Linked DNA regions of Pelodiscus sinensis. The protein of the gene in region 1 binds, or shares a complex with, the protein of each later gene. Links are inferred from orthologs where the notes say so. Each region holds a gene or a part of one and is shown on either strand. Other genes may lie near its edges.

What was found.
Region 2: EIF4A3 (region 1) and RBM8A share a complex: the UniProt entries of both Homo sapiens proteins name them as parts of the ALYREF/THOC4-EJC-RNA complex. The link is inferred for Pelodiscus sinensis from reciprocal best matches to the Homo sapiens genes EIF4A3 and RBM8A.
Region 3: the proteins of EIF4A3 (region 1) and CASC3 are in contact, whole or in part, in a crystal structure (PDB 2J0U), measured with the Homo sapiens proteins. The link is inferred for Pelodiscus sinensis from reciprocal best matches to the Homo sapiens genes EIF4A3 and CASC3. Residues at the interface, in NP_055555.1 of Homo sapiens: Thr178, Arg179, Lys198, Ile201, Tyr202, Tyr205, Arg206, Tyr207, Leu208, Pro209, Pro210, Thr212, Lys231, Phe232; in NP_031385.2 of Homo sapiens: Arg217, Trp218, Glu219, His220, Asp221, Lys222, Phe223, Glu225.

The regions. Positions count from the first base shown.
Region 1 is NC_134713.1:198,331,119-198,338,023, forward strand, and holds the start of EIF4A3 (eukaryotic initiation factor 4A-III), read right to left. Parts: upstream 3,002-6,905; 5' UTR 2,950-3,001; coding exon 2,796-2,949; intron 1-2,795. UniProt on the Homo sapiens protein: ATP-dependent RNA helicase. Involved in pre-mRNA splicing as component of the spliceosome. Core component of the splicing-dependent multiprotein exon junction complex (EJC) deposited at splice junctions on mRNAs.
Region 2 is NC_134734.1:19,820,812-19,828,528, forward strand, and holds the start of RBM8A (RNA-binding protein 8A), read left to right. Parts: upstream 1-4,647; 5' UTR 4,648-4,739; coding exon 4,740-4,806; intron 4,807-7,717.
Region 3 is NC_134739.1:10,950,531-10,958,602, forward strand, and holds the start of CASC3 (protein CASC3), read right to left. Parts: upstream 3,092-8,072; 5' UTR 2,972-3,091; coding exon 2,747-2,971; intron 151-2,746; coding exon 123-150; intron 1-122. UniProt on the Homo sapiens protein: Required for pre-mRNA splicing as component of the spliceosome. Core component of the splicing-dependent multiprotein exon junction complex (EJC) deposited at splice junctions on mRNAs.

The DNA.
Region 1 (6,905 bases):
AGTGAGGGCTTGGGGGCAGAGGGAGCACGCCCTGAGTGGTGGGGGGGGGCGGGGGGAGACTGCGGGCGCCCCAGGCCAGTGAGGGCTTGGGGGCAGAGGGAGCACGCCCTGAGGGGCGGGGGGGGGGGGCGGGGGGAGACTGCGGGCGCCCCAGGCCAGTGAGGGCTTGGGGGCAGAGGGAGCACGCCCTGAGGGGCGGGGGGGGGCGGGGGGAGACTGCGGGCGCCCCAGGCCAGTGAGGGCTTGGGGGCAGAGGGAGCACGCCCTGAGTGGTGGGGGGGGGGCGGGGGGAGACTGCGGGCGCCCCAGGCCAGTGAGGGCTTGGGGGCAGAGGGAGCACGCCCTGAGTGGTGGGGGGGGGCGGGGGGAGACTGCGGGCGCCCCAGGCCAGTGAGGGCTTGGGGGCAGAGGGAGCACGCCCTGAGTGGTGGGGGGGGGCGGGGGGAGACTGCGGGCGCCCCAGGCCAGTGAGGGCTTGGAGGCAGAGGGAGCACGCCCTGAGGGGCGGGGGGGGCGGGGGGAGACTGCGGGCGCCCCAGGCCAGTGAGGGCTTGGGGGCAGAGGGAGCACGCCCTGAGGGGCGGGGGGGGGCGGGGGGAGACTGCGGGCGCCCCAGGCCAGTGAGGGCTTGGGGGCAGAGGGAGCACGCCCTGAGGGGCGGGGGGGGCGGGGGGAGACTGCGGGCGCCCCAGGCCAGTGAGGGCTTGGGGGCAGAGGGAGCACGCCCTGAGTGGTGGGGGGGGGGCGGGGGGAGACTGCGGGCGCCCCAGGCCAATGAGGGCTTGGGGGCAGAGGGAGCACGCCCTGAGGGGCGGGGGGGGCGGGGGGAGACTGCGGGCGCCCCAGGCCAATGAGGGCTTGGGGGCAGAGGGAGCACGCCCTGAGTGGTGGGGGGGGGCGGGGGGAGACTGCGGGCGCCCCAGGCCAGTGAGGGCTTGGGGGCAGAGGGAGCACGCCCTGAGGGGCGGGGGGGGGCGGGGGGAGACTGCGGGCGCCCCAGGCCAGTGAGGGCTTGGGGGCAGAGGGAGCACGCCCTGAGTGGTGGGGGGGGGCGGGGGGAGACTGCGGGCGCCCCAGGCCAGTGAGGGCTTGGGGGCAGAGGGAGCACGCCCTGAGTGGTGGGGGGGGGCGGGGGGAGACTGCGGGCGCCCCAGGCCAGTGAGGGCTTGGGGGCAGAGGGAGCACGCCCTGAGTGGTGGGGGGGGGCGGGGGGAGACTGCGGGCGCCCCAGGCCAGTGAGGGCTTGGGGGCAGAGGGAGCACGCCCTGAGTGGTGGGGGGGGGCGGGGGGAGACTGCGGGCGCCCCAGGCCAGTGAGGGCTTGGGGGCAGAGGGAGCACGCCCTGAGTGGTGGGGGGGGGGCGGGGGGAGACTGCGGGCGCCCCAGGCCAGTGAGGGCTTGGGGGCAGAGGGAGCACGCCCTGAGTGGTGGGGGGGGGGCGGGGGGAGACTGCGGGCGCCCCAGGCCAGTGAGGGCTTGGGGGCAGAGGGAGCACGCCCTGAGTGGTGGGGGGGGGCGGGGGGAGACTGCGGGCGCCCCAGGCCAGTGAGGGCTTGGAGGCAGAGGGAGCACGCCCTGAGGGGCGGGGGGGGCGGGGGGAGACTGCGGGCGCCCCAGGCCAGTGAGGGCTTGGGGGCAGAGGGAGCACGCCCTGAGGGGCGGGGGGGGCGGGGGGAGACTGCGGGCGCCCCAGGCCAGTGAGGGCTTGGGGGCAGAGGGAGCACGCCCTGAGGGGCGGGGGGGGCGGGGGGAGACTGCGGGCGCCCCAGGCCAGTGAGGGCTTGGGGGCAGAGGGAGCACGCCCTGAGTGGTGGGGGGGGGGCGGGGGGAGACTGCGGGCGCCCCAGGCCAATGAGGGCTTGGGGGCAGAGGGAGCACGCCCTGAGGGGCGGGGGGGGCGGGGGGAGACTGCGGGCGCCCCAGGCCAATGAGGGCTTGGGGGCAGAGGGAGCACGCCCTGAGTGGTGGGGGGGGGCGGGGGGAGACTGCGGGCGCCCCAGGCCAGTGAGGGCTTGGGGGCAGAGGGAGCACGCCCTGAGGGGCGGGGGGGGCGGGGGGAGACTGCGGGCGCCCCAGGCCAGTGAGGGCTTGGGGGCAGAGGGAGCACGCCCTGAGTGGTGGGGGGGGGGCGGGGGGAGACTGCGGGCGCCCCAGGCCAGTGAGGGCTTGGGGGCAGAGGGAGCACGCCCTGAGTGGTGGGGGGGGGGCGGGGGGAGACTGCGGGCGCCCCAGGCCAGTGAGGGCTTGGGGGCAGAGGGAGCACGCCCTGAGTGGTGGGGGGGGGGCGGGGGGAGACTGCGGGCGCCCCAGGCCAGTGAGGGCTTGGGGGCAGAGGGAGCACGCCCTGAGGGGCGGGGGGGGCGGGGGGAGACTGCGGGCGCCCCAGGCCAGTGAGGGCTCCGCACTTAGTCCCGGGTGCCCCGTGCAGGGCGGGGGGGGAGCCAGGCCCTTCCTGCTCTCCCTCCCCTGGGGGCAGCGCCAAGTCTCCTCCCCCCCGCCCTTCAGAACAGCCGGCAGTTGGGGGGGGGAGGCAGCTCACGCACCCCCAGGCCAATCAGGGGAGCACAGAAGTGTCCTGGCCCCCGCCCCTTCCGCCTGAGGCCCCGCCCCTTCCGGGGCAGCCCAGGGCCAGTTCAAAACCGGCCAATAACCACCGCCCCTCCCCCCCGGCCCGAGGGCTGCTCGGCGCGCGGCGAGCGAAGCGCTGCGCAGGCGCGGCCCGCGGGGCAACGGCCGCGGCGAGGGGAGCCCGCGCGAGGCCCGGCCCCTCCCCCTCCCGCGAGGCCGGCGCGCACCGTAGGCGTAGATGCCGCGCAGCAGGTCCTCGCGCAGCCCCATGGTGTCGAAGGTGGGGGTCACGTCCACCTCCTCGCTCGTCTCGAACTCCACCTTGGTCATGTCCTCCTCCTTCAGCAGCCGCTTGCGGGCCGCGCCCGCCGCGCCCGACATGGCCGCTCCGCCTCGCGCCCAGCCTCTGCCGCGCGCCTGCGCCGCGTGACGGGGAAGGCGAGCCTCGCTGCGGAGCTGGCCCCGCCCCCAGGCGCTGGCTCCTCCTCCCGCCCTAGGACGAGCCGGGGGCGGGGCGCGGAGAGCAGAGGCCGCCGCGGGGCGGGGCAAGGGGCGGGGCGTGTGCCCACGTGTCACCACCAGCGCTCCCGGGGGGGCCTGGCCCCGTCAATTCACATGGGGGGCGGGTCCCGCTGCGGCCCCAGGGGCTACGCCCCCCGCCCCGCCCCCCCAGGCTGCTCGGGGCCGGCCGGGCGCACAAAGGCAGCAGAGCGGGCCCGGCAGGAGGCGAGTCCCGGCGCCACGGGGAGGGGCGCTGAGGCGGACGGGCCCGGCACGCGCGGCTGAGGTCTGTCCCGGGTGTGTGACACCGGCACGGGGGGGCCGCTCCACCTCCAGCTTCCTGCGCGGGGTGCGGGGGGCTGGGCCGGCCCCGGGGGGTGCGGGGTGCTGGGCCGGCCCGGGGGGTGGGGGGGGTGCGGGGTGCTGGGCCGGCCCGGGGGGTGCGGGGTGCTGGGCCGGCCCCGGGGGCTGGGGGGGTGCGGGGTGCTGGGCCGGCCCCGGGGGGTGCGGGGTGCTGGGCCGGCCCCGGGGGCTGGGGGGGGTGCTGGGCCGGCCCGGGGGGTGCGGGGGGCTGGGCCGGCCCGGGGGGTGGGGGGGTGCGGGGTGCTGGGCCGGCCCCGGGGGGTGGGGGGGTGCGGGGTGCTGGGCCGGCCCGGGGGGTGCTGGGCCGGCCCCGGGGGGTGCGGGGTGCTGGGCCGGCCCCGGGGGGTGCGGGGTGCTGGGCCGGCCCCGGGGGGTGCGGGGTGCTGGGCCGGCCCCGGGGGCTGGGGGGGGGTGCTGGGCCGGCCCCGGGGGCTGGGGGGGGTGCTGGGCCGGCCCCGGGGGCTGGGGGGGTGCGGGGTGCTGGGCCGGCCCCGGGGGGTGGGGGGGTGCGGGGGGCTGGGCCCGCCCCGGGGGGTGGGGGGGTGCGGGGGGCTGGGCCCGCCCCGGGGGTTGGGGGGGGTGCTGGGCCCGCGCCGGCCGGCCCGGGGGGTGCGGGGCGCTGGGCCGCCCCGGGGGGTGGGGGGGGTGCTGGGCCCGCGCCGGCCGCCCCGGGGGGTGGGGGGGGTGTGGGGGGCTGGGCCCGCCCCGGGGGGGTGCGGGGTGCTGGGCCCGCGCCGGCCGCCCCGGGGGAGGTGCTGGGCCCGCCCCGGGGGCTGGGGGGGGTGCGGGGTGCTGGGCCCGCCCCGGGGGCTGGGGGGGGGTGCTGGGCCCGCGCCGGCCGCCCCGGGGGGTGGGGGGGTGCGGGGGTTGCTGGACCCGCCCCGGGGGCTGGGGGGCTGCGGGGGGCTGGGCCGGCGCCGGCGGCCCCGGTGGCTGGGGGGGTGCGGGGTGCTGGGCCCGCCCCGGGGGGTGGGGGGGTGCGGGGTGCTGGGCCTGCCCCGGGGGGTGCGGGGGGTGCTGGGCCCGCCCCGGGGGCTGGGGGGCTGCGGGGGGCTGGGCCCGCGCCGGCGGCCCCGGGGGGTGGGGGGGTGCGGGGTGCTGGGCCCGCCCCGGGGGGTGCGGGGTGCTGGGCCTGCGCCGGCCGCCCCGGGGGGTGGGGGGGTGCGGGGTGCTGGGCCTGCGCCGGCCGCCCCAGGGGCGGGGGGGAGGTGCGGGGTGCTGGGCCTGCGCCGGCCGCCCCGGGGGCGGGGGGGGGTGCGGGGTGCTGGGCCCGCGCCGGCCGCCCCAGGGGAGGTGCTGGGTTTTCTCCCCGTGATAACTGGGTTTCTCTGGGGTGGGTTGTGCGTCTGTGGAACATCGCTGGGCCTGTGATAGTGTCTAGGTCTGGCCATGCTTAGTACAGTTGCTTGGCTCGTTTGTGTCTAGCTCTCTGCTGGTCCCTCGCATTCCTTCCGGAGCTGCGATGCTGCTGCTTCTGCCTTTCTCCCTAGGCCTTGCCGCAGCCGAAGGGTGCTCAGATAGCCAGGACCTGCCTGGCAGTGCCAAGCTGTAATGAGCGGGGGGTGAAAGGAAATGATCCAGAGCTGAGACTGCTTGTCCGTTCCAGTCATTTGTGAACTGTCTGCAAGGCCAAAGGTGGCTTGTGTTCCAGTTCCAACACTGTTCCGCAAGGTGTGCTGCACCCATCTACACTAGGACGCTGATACATGAAATAAGCAGCAGGTGCCCCCCAGTCAGAAATAAAAGTGGCTTAACTGTCCAAGTCTTTTGGTAACTGCGCTGAGAATGATTTTGTCCCATCTGGCCCCTCCTAAGCCATTTCTAACACTGACTGAAGTCATGTGTCACATAGAATCACGGACACTCATCCAGTCCAGTCCCCGCCCTCACAGCAGGACCCAGTACCAGGGTTGCCAACCGTCTGTAAATTTACAGAGAGTCCGTAATAGCTGAGAACTGGTATCCAGGGCCCCTTCTCCCAGTGCAGATGGGACTCTGGAGAGTTGGAGCGTGTGGCTCTAGTACATAGCAAAGTGCACAAATGAACTTGGCCCAATGGAGCCCACCTTGTGGGTGTGATGCCGGTTGGGGGGGGGGGGGGTATGTCTGACGGCACTTGCTGCCAGAGGGTCACCTCACTAAGGTGGAGGGACTCTACATTGCCTTGCATTTGTCAGCTTCATTTTTTCCCCTTTATTTCTTCAACTGGACTATTTTGCACTGATTTTCTTTGTAGCCTCATCGCTGAGCCGCTCCCATTGGCACAACGTTGGCTCCTTCGCACTTCAAACTCCAGAGTGGCTGTTGCCTCTGTAGAACAAGGGAAGGGAGGGGTTGTGTGTAGAACAGTCCATATGAAGGACTGCAGGCCAGTAGAATTCTGGAGCTTTCAAAGTTGGTAGGGCCAAGACTTGATTTATTGGAACAAATCACATCAGCCAGTGTCCATTTGGTTTCTTTTCATTAGGAGTCCACACACACGTGGAGCCCACTGCAGGTTCAGACCGTAGGGCTTGTGTGCTGGGTAGTGTCCAGCGCTTTTTACAGAGAAGTGTACACAGCTGATTGTGAATATCTTGTGTAAGCTGGCTACCCTCTTGTCACATCTAGCGTGAAAGGCAGGCACTTCTACTTGTCTGTTGGGGCTGAAGCTGCAGAACTAGGCGAGTTTCCTTTATTCCTGCAGCTAATTTGGTTTTCTTTAGCGTGAGTGTAGAGCTTCTTAAGGCCTGGATTGTGCTACCCTTACACACCTTGAGTAATCGTTCTCTCTGTGAATGATCAGATTCCTGTGAGGCTACTTGGAGAATAAAGTGAGTAAGACGCTGCTGAAAACAGAAATGGAAACCACAGTCTTTGATTTGTACTTGGAACCTGGACAGCCCTGCCACGCCCCCCTCTCGATTCCCTGGAGATCCTGCTGGGGCGAGGGAGCCCCTCTCTGATCCTCTTTTAGTTCTAACTGAGACCGGGTTCTGCCTTGATGCCCCTGAACAAGAGGTGCAACGTGCACAGATACCGAGACCAAACATTCTTTGCTGCACGTATAATGCTGACCCATGTGTCATTGTCCCTTTTCCTGTGCACCCACTCAGGAAATGCCGCCCAGACTGCTCCTTCACTCGTCCCCTTCCTCCAAACAAAGGGCGTCAAGACGCTGTTCCCTCTGTTTTCCCTCTGTGTGCAGAATACATTTTGTTCTGTGCACCAAGGCACGTGCAGATGTGCACCACCAGTAGGAATACCTGCTGCCAGCTGGGGGCACGCTGTTAATTGGCTGGGGGGCATTTTAATCTCTCCTGGGCAGCCACCCAAGTGCTTCACTTTCAGGGAACGGTGCCTCAAGGCAGTGACAAAATACAGGACTATGTAGCACTTTAAAGACTAACAAGATGGTTTATTAGATGATGAGCTTTCGTGGGCCAGACCCACTTCCTCAGATCAAATAGTGGAAGAAAATAGTCACAACCATA
Region 2 (7,717 bases), on another chromosome or scaffold:
GTGTGCATTGGAATGAGGTGCACGGATTCTGGAGCTTTTTTCCCCAGCAGTACCCTTCGGGGCAGCAGGGGCCCCCCTGGAGTGGCACCTGTATATCGGTGCATAAATACCCCTGCTAGCCCTCTCCTCCCTCAGTTCCTTCTTACTGCCCATGAGGGTAGCTGGAGCATCTTTGTGCTTTCCCAATTGCCCAACGTGCATATAGTTAGCATTGTAGATAACTATTTACACAACTAAGAACACAGGCTAAGTAATTAGTGTTAGCGGGTTCATCGCTTCTCTCTCCCTTCCTGGGGAGGGGATGCCAGGTCCACAGGGTTTTAAACCTTGTGCGACTTGTTTGAAGGCCATGCCCTGCAGGGACCCCCCCACAACTCTAGCCTGAAGTGTCTGGGGGTGGGCCACCGTGCAGAGTCTTGTAAAATCTGTAGATTTGTAAATCTGTTTCAATCCCTGCACCAAAAGGGAATGAGATTCCTACTTAAAACTGCTCTGCGCTGCAGCCGGTAGCAGAATCAGCACCGATAGTGCGAGTCTTTCATGGCACGGATACGCCCTACAGCTCCGCAGAAGACCATGGCTCTGAGGCACCAATCCCAATCCTCGGTGCCAAAGAAAAGGAGATTGCACAGGGGAGATCCCCGCTGATGCATAGGCACAACTGGTGGCACCGAGACGTAAGGCCGTTGAAGGGTTGACCCTCTCGGCACCTGGCTGCTCCTGGTCCTTCTAGACACCAGTTGAGCTCAGTGCGCCCAGGATTAAGTTTAAGAAGGACAAATGCAAAGTACCCCACTTAGGAAGGAACAATCCGTTTCACACGTTGGCTACGTCTACACTGGCATGATTTTCCGGAAATGCTTTTAACGGAAAAGTTTTCCGTTAAAAGCATTTTTGGAAAAGCACATCTAGATTGGCAGGATGCTTTTTCACAAAAGCACTTTTTGTGGAAAAGCATCTGTGGCCAATCTAGACACAGTTTTCCACAAAAAATCCCCGATCGCCATTTTTGCGATCGGGGCTTTTTTGCCGAAAACAGTACTATGCTGTCTACACTGGCCCTCTTGCGCAAAGGTCTTTCGGAAAAAGACTTACCCGAACGGGAGCAGCATAGTATTTCCGGAAAAGCACTGATGATTTTATAGGAGATCGTCAGTGCTTTTGCGGAAATTCAAGCAGCCAGTGTAGACAGCTGGCAATTTTTTCTGCAAAATCACATGATTTTGCGGAAAAACTTGCCAGTCTAGACACAGCTGTTCAGAATGGGAAGCGACTGTCTAGGAAGGAGTCCTGCAGAAAGGGATCTAGGGGGCATAGTGGACCACAAGCTAAATATGAGTGGACAGTGGGATGCTGTTGCAAAAAAAGCAAACGTGATTCTAGGAGGCATTAACAGGAGTGTTGTGAGCAAGACACAAGAAGTCATTTATCCACTCTACTCTGTGCTGATTGTGTCTCAATTGGAGTATCGTGTTCAATTCTCAGCACCACATTTCAGGGAAGATGTGGAGAAATTGGACAAAGTAGCAAAAATGATGAAAGGTCTAGAAAACATGACCTATGAGGGAAGACTAAAAGAATGGGGCTTGTTTAGTTTGGAAGACAGAAGACTGAGAGGGGAGGGGACATGAAAGCAATTTTCAAGTATCTAAAAGGGTGTTATAAAGAGGAGGGAGAAAAATTGTTCTCTTTGACCCCTGATGCTAGGACAATGGGCTTAAATTGCAGCAAAGGAGGTTTAGATTGGACATTGGGGAAAAAGCTTCCTAACTGTCAGGGTGGTTACACACTGGAGTAAATTGCTGAGGGAGGTTGTGGAATCTCCATCACAGGAGATATTTACGAGCAGGTTACACAAACACCCTGTCAGGGATGATCTAGATGGTGCTTGATTCTGTGGTGAGGGCAGGGGACTGGACTTTGACCGCTGAAGGTCCCTTCTAGTTCTAGTATTCTAGGATTCCCATCACTGTAGTAAATTTATCCTGTGAAGGCACTGTAGCTGGGCTGCCAAAAGAATTCTGCTGTCATCCTTCCTTGTCTATACCAGGACGTAGGATGGGTTAACTATGTCTTGTGTGTGTGAGTGAATTTTTCACACCTTTTAAGGAATGTACCTCAGCCTATGTTTTGTGTGTAGATCAAGCCTAAGTTTTACTGCCTTGTATCCCAGACATCCGTAAATCAAAAACAGCTTTATTCTACAGGCAGTCCCCGGATTACATGGATCCGACTTACATTGGATTCCTACTTACAAACGGGGTGAGGCAACCCCGCACTAGCTGCTTCCCCTCAGCAGACCAGGGAGACGCGGAGCTAGCGCCCCCCCCCCAGCAGACCAGGGAGACACGGAGCTAGCGCCCCCCCCCAGCAGACTAGGGAGACGCGGAGCGGCTTTTCTCAGCAGACACCTCAGCTTGAGAATAAAGGACTGAGGGAAGTGAGGTGTGGGAGAATAAAACTGAGCTCTGGAGAAATGTTTGGCTAGAGTTTCCCCTACAATATGTACCAGTTCCGACTTACATACAAATTCAACTTAAGAACAAACCTACAGTCCCTATCTTGTACGTAACCCGGGGACTGCCTGTATTTCTAGCACTCCCCTCTCTCTGAGTGTGATAACCAGCTTGGACATAATCAACATGGCTTGCATCCAAGGATTGTGGGCAGTTGAAGAGCTGCCCTGGGTGTTGCTAAACCAACCTTGGTTTAAAGGTTTCTGAAGAGACGATGTTTGCTTTGCATTGCCCTCCCTGGAGTGGGAAGGAGGCAAAATGTCACAACGTACCAACCTGCTGCAAAAGCAGGCAACAACCTGCTTCCAGTGGGACATTTGTTTTCACTCTCAAAAAGTAGGTGAGGTAGCCTCATTTGTGATTAGATTCCCTGTGAGGCTTGTTTTTTTTAAATCTAGAAGAAGGGGACAGCCAGGCTCATCCCACTGGCAGATGCAGCATCTGCTGCACGTAGACCAGATGCTGTCCAAAACCACTTGGCCTTTGTGAGCTGTTGGAGAAAGGATTGTAACTTTGGCAGTCCCCTGTGTTAGGATAAGATGAGATCTCCATATGTGGCCATTTCAGATGAGAGCTGAGAAATTAAACCACCAGAGCCACACTGCAGTAGTGGGTGAAGTTTGCTTCACCTGTAAATGGCCAATTTTGAGTTTAGGGAATCACAGGGGGGGTGCTAGCTTGTATCAAATGAGTTGGGGGATGGGGGTGGTTCTCCTAGTTTTCACTAAACAGGTGTCCCTATCAGCAAAACCGTGCACGGCAATTAGTTGTCACCTCTGCCCATGCAGTGAATGGCTGGGGGAAAGATCATCCAAGACAGTGGTTCTCAACCAGGAGTCTTCCAGGAGACGCATCAACTCTTCTAGAGAGCTCCTTAGTTTTACAACAGGCTACATAAAGAAGCACCAGCGAGGCCAGTACAAACTCTAATTTCATACAGACAGTGACTTGTTTGTACTACTCTTATGTGCTACGTACAGTACAGAAATAGAAATGAGTACAATATTTATCTTCCAATATTTATATGATTGTCAGCAATTTTTTCAATAATTGTGTGGCTGTGATGCTTGTGTATTTTTTGTCTGATTTTTGTAAGCCAGTTGTTTTTAAGTGAGGTGAAACGGGGGGGGGGGGGGGGGAAGCAACTGAAATCAGACTCCTGGAAGAGGTACAGGGATTGGGAAAGGCTGTCACCAGTCCAACTAACACCCCTTAGGGTGGAGTAATGTACTGGAGAAATATGTACTGATGTTTAGGGTTGCCAGATGGTTTCAACAAAAATACTGGACACATTTGACATTATATCACAATCTACATTACATCTGATTTAGAAAATACCGGACATTTATATTTTCTCATTTGTATTTTCTCAATTTGTTTCCCAAACGGAAAGCTCAAATACTGGACTGTCCAGTTCAAAACCAGACAGGTGGCAACCCTAATGATGTTGCTTTCACTGTCCTTAATCTGTGGATGGAGGAGAAACCTCTGTATTTGAGCTTTTCCTTTTAGGGATTCTCTTTTTTGTACACCTCAACTGCAGCATTATCGCAATGCGCTGGGCTCTCTAATGTCAACGTGGTGTGTCCAGCTGAAGGCGCTGCCGTGTTCCCAGGGCGGCCATTCCAGCAATGACAGATGAAAATGGGTGGAAATACAGCAGCCGTCTGCCCTGCCCCACGTGGGCATGTGAGGGGGTCACGGGAGCGCGAGCGGAGGGGATGCTACCAATGTGAGCAGGCTAGGTACCATGGGGGGCTTGCCGGAGGGGGGGTTTGCTGGGGGTTTGATGCATCAGAGGGGGGAGCCCCAAGGGGATGGGAGCAGGGAAGTAGGAAGGAGACAGTCTCCAAATGGGGGACAAGTCCAAGGTGCAGCTGAGGAGGGGTCTGGCCTGGCTGCTGTGAGACAGCAGCTGGCTGCTACTGGGAGAGGGCGCAGCATGAGCCTATCTCCTGCCCTTCTCAAAATGGCGCCGAGAGGGCGAAGAACATCCTGACCTTACTAATATGGCGGCTCCCAGCAGGGAGGAGGACGTGACTCTACCAAGATGGCGGCCGCCCATGGCCGACGCGTGCCCTTCCCTAGATGGCGGTCTCCCGGCAGTTACCTTTTGCTGGAGAGGCACTTCCGGCCCCTCCCCTTTCCCGCCGTGCAGCGCGGCCTCGGCTCGGGTCTTCCCGTCCCTTCTGTGGCAGCGGCGGGCAGCGGAGCGGCGGCAAGATGGCGGACGTGCTGGATCTTCACGAGGCGGGCGGCGAGGACTTCGCCATGGACGAGGATGGGGACGGTACCGAACCCCCCCCGGCCCCGCCCAACTGGGCCGAGTCTGGGTCCGACCCCCCCCCCCGGCCCGCCCGGATCTATCGGAGCTGGAATCTTCCCCCCCCCCCCCCCCCCAGTGGTAGCGCCCCCCCCCCCACCGCTATTTCGGGTGGTGCGGACCCAGAACTCGGGGCGGGGCTGGGGCTGCGCTGGAGGCCCCGCCCCCTCGCCCCGCCCCATCCTGCCTGGTTCTGAGTCCAGCGTCGCCCCCCTCCCCCCCCCCCCCCCACGCCCGGCTCTGACCCCGCCTCCCCCCGGGGTCGCTCTAGAGCAGCGTCTCTCAGCCTGTGTTTATAAAATACCCCAATGCACTCGCCCCGCCCCCAGAACCCCCCTCCCCTGCTCTAACCCGATACCCCGCCCCCAGAGCCCCCCCTCCCCTGCTCTAACCCGATACCCCGCCCCCAGAGCCCCCCCTCCCCTGCTCTAACCCGATACCCCGCCCCCAGAGCCCACCTCCCCTGCTCTAACCCGATACCCCGCCCCCAGAGCCCCCCTCCCCTGCTCTAACCCGATACCCCGCCCCCAGAGCCCCCCTCCCCTGCTCTAACCCGATACCCCGCCCCCAGAACCCCCCTCCCCTGCTCTAACCCGATACCCCGCCCCCAGAGCCCCCCTCCCCTGCTCTAACCCGATACCCCGCCCCCAGAGCCCCCCTCCCCTGCTCTAACCCGATACCCCGCCCCCAGAGCCCACCTCCCCTGCTCTAACCCGATACCCCGCCCCCAGAGCCCCCCTCCCCTGCTCTAACCCGATACCCCGCCCCCAGAACCCCCCTCCCCTGCTCTAACCCGATACCCCGCCCCCAGAGCCCCCCTCCCCTGCTCTAACCCGATACCCCGCCCCCAGAGCCCCCCTCCCCTGCTCTAACCCGATACCCCGCCCCCAGAGCCCCCCTCCCCTGCTCTAACCCGATGCCCCGCCCCCAGAGCCCCCCCTCCCCTGCTCTAACCCGATGCCCCTCCCCCAGAGCCCCCCCTCCCCTGCTCTAACCCGATACCCCGCCCCCAGAGCCCCCCTCCCCTGCTCTAACCCGATACCCCTCCCCCAGAGCCCCCCCTCCCCTGCTCTAACCCGATACCCCGCCCCCAGAGCCCCCCTCCCCTGCTCTAACCCGATACCCCGCCCCCAGAGCCCCCCTCCCCTGCTCTAACCCGATGCCCCGCCCCAAGAGCCCCCCTCCCCTGCTCTAACCCGATGCCCCGCCCCCAGAGCCCCCCTCCCCTGCTCTAACCCGATGCCCCGCCCCCAGAGCCCCCCCTCCCCTGCTCTAACCCGATGCCCCGCCCCCAGAGCCCCCCTCCCCTGCTCTAACCCGATGCCCCGCCCCCAGAGCCCCCCTCCCCTGCTCTAACCCGATGCCCCGCCCCCAGAGCCCCCCTCCCCTGCTCTAACCCGATGCCCCGCCCCCAGAGCCCCCCTCCCCTGCTCTAACCCGATGCCCCGCCCCCAGAGCCCCCCTCCCCTGCTCTAACCCGATGCCCCGCCCCCAGAACCCCCCCTCCCCCGCTCTAACCCGATGCCCCGCCCCCAGAACCCCCCCTCCCCCGCTCTAACCCGATACCCCGCCCCCAGAACCCCCCCTCCCCCGCTCTAACCCGATGCCCCGCCCCCAGAGCCCCCCTCCCCCGCTCTAACCCGATGCCCCGCCCCCAGAGCCCCCCTCCCCTGCTCTAACCCGATACCCCGCCCCCAGAACCCCCCTCCCCTGCTCTAACCCGATACCCCGCCCCCAGAGCCCCCCTCCCCTGCTCTAACCCGATACCCCGCCCCCAGAGCCCCCCTCCCCGGCTCTAACCCGATACCCCGCCCCCAGAACCCCCCTCCCCTGCTCTAACCCGATGCCCCGCCCCCAGAGCCCCCCTCCCCTGCTCTAACCCGATGCCCCGCCCCCAGAGCCCCCCTCCCCTGCTCTAACCCGATACCCCGCCCCCAGAGCCCCCCTCCCCTGCTCTAACCCGATACCCCGCCCCCAGAGCCCCCTTCCCCTGCTCTAACCCGATACCCCGCCCCCAGAGCCCCCCTCCCCTGCTCTAACCCGATGCCCCGCCCCCAGAGCCCCCCTCCCCTGCTCTAACCCGATGCCCCGCCCCCAGAGCCCCCCTCCCCTGCTCTAACCCGATGCCCCGCCCCCAGAGCCCCCCCTCCCCTGCTCTAACCCGATGCCCCGCCCCCAGAGCCCCCCCTCCCCTGCTCTAACCCGATGCCCCGCCCCCAGAGCCCCCCTCCCCTGCTCTAACCCGATGCCCCGCCCCCAGAGCCCCCCTCCCCTGCTCTAACCCGATGCCCCGCCCCCAGAGCCCCCCTCCCCTGCTCTAACCCGATGCCCCGCCCCCCAGAGCCCCCCTCCCCTGCTCTAACCCGATGCCCCGCCCCCAGAGCCCCCCTCCCCTGCTCTAACCCGATGCCCCGCCCCCAGAGCCCCCCTCCCCTGCTCTAACCCGATACCCCGCCCCCAGAGCCCCCCTCCCCTGCTCTAACCCGATGCCCCGCCCCCAGAGCCCCCCTCCCCTGCTCTAACCCGATGCCCCTCCCCCAGAGGCCCCCTCCCCTGCTCTAACCCGATACCCCGCCCCCAGAGCCCCCCTCCCCTGCTCTAACCCGATACCCCGCCCCCAGAGCCCCCCTCCCCTGCTCTAACCCGATACCCCGCCCCCAGAGCCCCACCTCCCCTGCTCTAACCCGATACCCCGCCCCCAGAACCCCCCTCCCCTGTTCTAACCCGATGCCCCGCCCCCAGAGCCCCACCTCCCCTGCTCTAACCCGATGCCCCGCCCCCAGAGCCCCCCTCCCCTGCTCTAACCCGATGCCCCTCCCCCAAAGCCCCCCTCCCCTGCTCTAACCCGATGCCCCTCTCCCAAAGCCCCCCTCCCCTG
Region 3 (8,072 bases), on another chromosome or scaffold:
GGGACCAGACAACTGGCCTTTCAAAATGGCCTCAGAGTATGCATTTTTAATAGCTAACGATTCTGTGCTTTCATAGCTTCCCTTCTCCCTCCCAGGACAGCCCAAAGATACTTATTACTCACCGTCTCCTTCAATGCCATCTTCACTTTCCTATTGAAAGAGAGAGACACACAAGCATGTTACTGGATGTGTAAAATTTCCAGGAAAATTTCAGTGACTTGCCTATCAGATGTGACCTCACTAGACATCTAGACAAGCTTTTGACAAGAGCCGGGTTGGGGAGATGCCTGTGACCCTGGCACACAGGAGAGTCATCCTGGAAGCTTACATTTAGAACAAACATGGATCTAAGAACTTGGACAAGAGTTTTCCTGAAAATGCATCCAGTTGCATGCACAAGGCCGGCCAGACTGAGGGAAATTCAAGTCCTCCAGGCAAGAAAAGGCAGTATGGAGAGGAGGGGTTTAAAGTGTGGTTAGTCAGTACTGATCTTTAGGGGAAAGAGGCCTACACAGAAATGATGAGCTCCCTTAATAAAATAAAACTAGAATCAGACTGCTGGCTCAGAAAGTTACTGGGGGATTGCTGAAAGCTGGGAATGGGTGACGGGATGATTACCTGTTCTGTTCATTCCCTCTGGGACACCTGGGCTTTGGCCACAGCCTGAAGACAGACTCCTTGGCTAGACAGACCTTTGGTCTAATCCATTCTTATGGATTATTTAAATTAGTGGCTTTCCCCAGCCTCCATGTGCTGAGGAGCACCAAACTCTCACAGCTGCTACAGATGTCAGAAACATAAATGTTAACGTCTGTCTTTATGGGATAGAGAGTAAGACTGAACTGGAGGAGGAGATCAGATCACAGAGGTAAATTCTGGAAAAGAACCAGAGTATCAGACTAAAGGAATTTAATAAAATAGGCTCATGCTCAAAAATTAAAAAACTGTGTATATAATAATGTAAAGGCTAAAAGCAAAAACAGGTGAACTACAAATATACCCGAAAGCAGAATAGGAACATGGTGTAAGAGGTCCGAGGGAATAAGCTACACGGCTATAAACTACACAGGAAGAACAATTAAACTGGACAGATGGGCAGAGCATTATCCTAAAAGACTTCAGAAAAGTCTACGAGGGGTGGGGAACCTCAGGCCTGGGGGCCAGATGTGGCCCTTGGCTTGCCTGGATCTGGACACTGAGACTCAGGGTTCCCCCTAACATTGGGGAGCCTGTGCTGGTGCTCCAATCCAAGCCTCTCTGTGGGGACAGAGCACACACAATCTACTAGGCTGGGGGCCCAGTGGGGGAGAGAGGATTTCCACTGCTTACTTGTGTGTGGCTGATTTTTCCATGGGTCAGCAGCCCCTGACTCAAAAAAGGTTCCCCACCCCTGCTCTAGGGTAATAGTACTGGCCTGCCCATGAAGAGTCAATGACAAACACAAAGAAGAAAGTCTGTAAACATGTCAGAAACAAGAAACCAGAGAGGGAAATGCTAGGTCCACCAAAGGCATAGGCAAGGAGTATTTTCAGCTGAGATTTACACTGTCACTGAAACTTATAAACACTGTGGCATTCATTCAGCTGACAATCTATGAAAACACAAGATTCAATTTTAACACCCTTTCACTCAACATCATTTTACCTGACAGAACCCATTTCAACCATCCTGATTGTTTTACATTTCTCTGAAATCTGAGAAATGTATTGGCTGAGCCATTGTCTTGACGACCAAATTAAGCTTTGCTAACTAGCTCAAAAGTTTCACGAGAAAGGGCTGCAGAGTGACCAGATGGAGATATTCATCTAAAAGTCCAGCCCCAAACCACCTGCACTAACTCATTTTGAACACCAGAGTCTGCATAATCTGTATTGCCACAGTGGAAAGACAGATGAGGAAAGATGTGGTCCTGGAATGAAAAAGATTATTGATGCAGAATTTTTCAAGTCAATGTAACGGTAGTTCCAGACCTACTGTAATGTATAAAGATGTGGCAAGGAGGGTCACTTGGCACATACTCTTTTGCCCTTTGTTACATTGCCTGTCTGTATCAAGGATTGAAGTAAATTCTGTAGCATGTGCACGAGGAAAGGACAGGAGAGGAGTGTGTTGATAAGATCTTTGGACACGGATTAATAAAGCTAAATCCCACTGCGCTGCCGAGATCCTTTTGATAAGGGGCTGAGCGGGGAGGTGGAATCCAGGGCTCCTAATCAATTCCTCTCTAAATACGTCCGCCTTACTGGTCTGGAGGAGGGCAATTTAGCAAGATTTTTAAGATGCGGGGCCGGTAAGCTTGCGGCCTGCCCACGCGCTTCGCACTGCAAAAGGAAAGTGACTAAAAACAACAAGCGAGAGAGGAGGCTCAGTCACACAAAGCGGTTTCCCCCACGGCCCTGCCGCCACCGCGGCGACGAGCAGACAACGGAATTCGAAGACATCGGCCCCAATGAGTTTCTCCCCAGGGTCAAGCCGCGGAGGGGGGGGGATATTACGTTTGGGTGGCAAACGCCCCCCCCCAGCCACATGCAACACTCTGGCCGCTCCCACCTCCCCTGACGGCCCCGCCCCGGGGGCTCAGCCAGCCCGACCTGTGCACAAGCGAGCCCCCCCCAACCACGCGGGACAGGCCCCCCCCGACGCGCGCGGGCCGACCCCTGCCAATGGGGAACCCCCCCGCGGGGAGGGGGGGCAGGCCCCTCCCATCCCTCAGACCCCCCCCCATTGTCGCCCCGCCCCCACTCACACACTCGGACTCCTGCGGGCTCTTGGCGGCCCCGGGCGCGCTCTCGGCCGCGCGGCCCCGGCCCCCCGCGGGCAGGTCCCCGGCAGCGCCCCGGGCCGGCCGGGGGGGCGAGGCGGGCGAGCCGGAGCGGGCCCCGCCGGCCGCGGAGTCGGCGCTGTCGGAGGCGGCCGAGTCGGACTCGTCCTCGCTGTCCTGGGAGGCCCGCTGCCGCCGCCTGTCCGCCATCTTGGGGGGGGCTGTGCGGGGGCGGGCGCGCAGGGCCCGACGGGACGGCGCCGGGACTACAGCTCCCAGGGGCGCACCGCGGCGCCTCCCGCTTCCGGCCCCGCCCGAGAGGGGAGGGGTCACAAGTCCCACTTCCGGGCAGCCCGCTCCGCGGCTCCCGCGAGGCTTTGTCAGAGAGCCGGAGTGCCTGCCCCGCCCTCAAGGGAGCCGCTCAGCGCGGGCGGCCCCACCCCTGCCTGGCGCGGCTGTGACGTCGTGCCGTCGCCGCACGATGACGTCATGTTACCGTCCAGGTGACGTCATTTCCTTGCTTGAAGCGGATTGCAGGCCATTTCCACGATTGAGCCGAGCACTGGGCCTGGGGCCGGGCTGGCTCAGCACACGGGGGCACAGCTGGGACCAGGGGAGAGCCAGGCCTGCGCCTTTCTGCAGGGCTAGGGGGGTCAGATACTTTCACAAAAAATCCAGAACCTGTCGGGGGGAGGAAGGTGTGTGTGGGGGGGAAATTGGTTGAAAAAAAAAAAAGAAGGGGGGGGAAGGACCCAGGCACCCAAATTTGTTGAGCCAAAAACAGTATTTTACTCCTGCAGTATTTTCTGTTGTTTTTTTTTAAACCCAAGAGAAGACGCAATTACCGGACTGTCTGGACAAAAACAGGACAACTGGCAAACCTATGCAGGACTCTACATGATTTGTTTCTTGCATGCACCTAAGTTTTTCCACAAGGGGGTAGCTCAATTTCACACTCCTTACCTTGTCCTGTATGCAGAGGGGTAGTCGTATTCAACCGAAAAAAACCACCACCAAATAGTCCTGTAGCACCCTCGAGACTACAGGTGATATCATGAGCTTGTGTATGCACAACCCACTTCTTGTGCCCACAAAAGCTCATACCACCATCTACGTTTTTGTTAGTCTCGAATTATGGTGCTGAAGGACTATTTGCTGTGGTTTAAGCTTGCCCTGTGTGTCCTTTTCCAGAAAGGAAAACCTGATAACTTGGGCCCTATTCCTCATAGGTAGTTAGGTGTCTAAATTCCCATCGACTCCAGTAGAAATTCAAAGGTATTTAGATGCCTGTGATCAGAGGGGCTACGTCTACACTGGCATGATTTTCCGGAAATGCTTTTAACGGAAAAGGTTTTCCGTTAAAAGTATTTCCAGAAAAGCACGTCTAGATTGGCAGGACGCTTTTCTGGAAAAGCACTTTTGCCGGAAAAGTGTCCGTGGCCAATCTAGACGCGCTTTTCCGCAAAAAAGCCCCGATCATCATTTTCGCAATTGGGGCTTTTTTGCGGAAAACACTACTGTGCTGTCTACACTGGCCCTTTTCCAGAACAGTTTTCTGGAAAAAGACTTTTGCCCGAACAGGAGCAGCATAGTTTTTCCGGAAAAGCACTGATGATTTTACATTAGATCGTCAGTGCTCTTCTAGAAATTCAAGTGGCCAGTGTAGACAGCTGGCAAGTTTTTCCGGAAAAGTGGCTGATTTTCCGGAATAACTTGCCCGTGTAGACACAGCCAGGGAGTTTGGCTACTACCCTAAGACCCGAAGCCTCAAGGATAAATGGGAGTCAATGTCATATCCACATCATACACAAGCACAGAGAGGTGAAGTGACTGGCACAACACTTCACCTCCCTCTGAAGACAAATCATGTTGCTTGCCATCACTGGAACAAGACAGAGGTGCATTGACCACACATCCATCCTTGCACGGTTATCTACCCAACACACTTGTTCTCTTTATGTAAAGTAAGGTGATTCTCTATACATTCCACAATAGGTTCATCTATTTCTTCCTGCATTTAGTATTTCAGCTCCCGAGGTACGCCCTTCTCTCAACTGTTATCTATGAGCAGCAGTGACTTTTCCTTTTCATCCACCCACTCGCTTAAAGATTTGTAAAGAAAGCAACAAAAAAAATGAACTAGGAGCAAGCACCTTCGTGTGGCTCCAGCATTATTGCTCCCTACAGAATTTATTAAGCAAGCATTTGGCAACAGGCCTTCAGCACTTGCCGCACACTGACCCAGACCCAGGAACGATCTGCATTGACGTTTTTAAAGAGCCAAAACAGACTCTCTGAGAAGCCTTTCAGAGCAAATTGGAGTCAGAAAAACAGTCTTGGGAAATATTAAGTGTTTCTTTAAAATACATTTGAATAGTGGCTCCCACATATTTAGCTATGGAATTGAGTGCTGGCTGGTTAGGGTTTCAGCTATTCAGACTGAAGAACCTTAAAATGTAGTTTTGTTTTGGTTTTTTTGAGAGAGACAGACACAAGGCATTAAGGGTAGACTGTTCTTCCAGTTCAGAGTTCTAAGCAAGCTATGGCAGCTGGTTAAAAATTCTAACGCTGGTAACACCATTCCTATGGACAGCACCAAGCATGCAAGAGAGAAGCAAGCTATATTTTTATTGGCTGAGAGAACGTTTCTAAACAAGACATATGCAAAGGGTTTGAGACAAACATGACAACAACATGTACGTGGTTTTTTTTCTATTTTATTGTAAAAAAAAAAATCTCGATTTGTTTAAATTTTTTAAACATACAAGCAGAATTGTTTAATACTCCCCAGTAACACTGTTAATTCTAACAAACTGAAGCAGAAATTCAAAAAATTAACAGCCACAAGTTTATTTACAACTGAACGTTTTTTATAAGATATTTACAAGACGACCAATTTTACATTAGAAATGGTATCAAAAGTATGCATTACAGACAACTAGGTGTCAAATGGCCATAAAACAAGGCTGAAGAATACAGACAAGCTTTTAATTGTATTTAAGATTTTTTTTTTTTTACACTAGCTTAAACTTGGTTAAAGAAAGCAAGGTTTTAAACCAAAGAACGGTTCTAATAGGGAATTGCAGGGCCTTCCATTGCAGATTGAGTTTCACAGTGTTGCACCCCATATTGGGAGAAATAAGACTTTTTCCCATGCCAACACTCACTGAAAATTTAACTTGGTACTTTCCCTCCAACCTACTCCCTGCCCACACACCCCATCTGTAGCTAACGACTGCTGGATAGATATCTATGAAAGATCATTTTTATAAAACATGGCTGCCTGTCTGGAGTTTAAAAACCAGGTGTGCCCTGGGAAATCAGGACCACTGGGACTTTAGTCTGAGGTCAAGCAGCTACCAGCAGATACCTCTCAGAGCTAGCTGTCACTGGGACGTAAGTGTTCTGACCCCTGAAAAGCCACGAATGCAGGGTATAACCAGAATGCAAAACCCACCTGATGCAGACCTGAAAGAGACAACATCAAGGAAAGAAAACAAGGCTCAAGCTTAATATTTGCCCATTTAACATGTTGGCTCCTAATTGCACAGAAATCCATTAAGAACACACGCTATCATGCGAAAGCAGGACACTCAAGAACAGCCTTATTTAAAAAAAAAAAAAAAAAAAAAGCGCAGTGCATAGCCCTAATGTTTCAGGCTATGTGGTACCAGGGTCCATGTCTCAAAAGATTTGCCCCTTTCATGTAGATTTCAGACCGTCTTTCAAACACCATTCCTACAGGAACCCTAGCACGGCCCACTGCCGTGTTGTAAGAATCAACCTCTCTCCCAAATTGCATAAGAATACATCCCAGTTCACAGGGAAAAGGAGGGAAAAAAACGCCACATTTTGTATTTGTGCATTACTATTTATAGCCATTTGAACCAAAGCAGGGAGAGAAGATTGCTGGCCTTAGACAACACTAACAACTCCAAAGGAACAATCAGAATGGAACATTTCTTCCCTGGCCCACGAACATTTTCAGAAATGACGTTAGCTCCTCCCCCAGCCGCACACATGTCAGAGGTAGGACAAGAACGGTGGAGCAATCTGACAAGCAAGCCTTGTGCACGAGAGTAACAGGCATGCTCTCTGTAGCAGCCAAACATTCCCCGGCCATCTGCCTTGACTCCATTCTGCTGTTAAGTCTGAAAGGTGATGGAGAATCCTGCCCCAGAGCATTTGGTATCACCACTAGTGTAGAACAACAATGAAGGCTCATTTCGTAAAGGAAGCAAATTACTAGAGCTAAAGCATAGGGACCACTCTAATTTTCTCTAGCCAATCCAAGCGTCTGACAAGATACGCGAGTTGCCAGCCACTGCTGTCCTTAAAACACTGAAAGGAAAACAAATCACCATTGTGCGTCTCGAATTCTGTTTTCACCATCAAAAACGTTTCCCACCCCCTATAGCCAGTTGGTCTAGAACCCGGCAGAGCAGCTGGCAAATAGGCTCATCTGGAGAAGTGTTTACGCACTGGCCATGGCGCAAGGAGAGTCTCGCTACAGAAAAGTGCAGAGAGTTGATTTCTGACCCAGGTTAACTAACCAGGTGTGTCTCATGGCAACAATGGGATGCAGCGTTCACTCCAGTCATGCTTGGCGAGACACAGCACATTCAGGACCCTCTGCCAGCCTCTCTCAGGGAAGTGGGTATTCATAAAGTTAGGTTCACTCATTTATTTAAAACCAAATCACCTATCTAGCACAACACAGGCACCGTACTGGCAGCCTGACCTGCCAGGCAAGAGGAAAATGCAGCTGACTTTACACTCCTCGTAGGTAGGTTCTTTACACCACAGAACTTCAAAGTGACAGCGTGATAAGCTTGCCTGCTGGTCCCATCTGCAAGTTCTTGCCAGGCAAGGTTTGGCCTGCTGGTTTCCCTCGCTCGGAGCTCTCAGCTGCATGTCTGAGAAAATAAACGTCAGCTTCAGAAAAGTGATGCGCACCCTGTGCTGAGCCAACGCCCAGGCAGGCTCGCAGGCGGGACAGGTATCAAGGCAGGCCTGTTTTTAGGCTTCTCAACCGTCACAAGGCCTCTTATGAGCTGCAGTGGCCACAGCAGCTGATGAAGTTTAGGCAGACGGCCTGAGCTTCCAGCACTGCTGCTCCAGCATAAAGCTTGAGAACTTGATGGTAAGAAAAGCAGGAGGGGGGAGAAATAAATAAACCACAGTTAGTCAGCCAGGTAAAGAATTTTGTGACAAAAAAACCAGAATGATGGGAAAGATACAGAGGCGTGGAGAAAACCGTCAAGGAGTAAGAATGTCCATAAGGGTAAAGATTCACAGGACTGAATAAAAC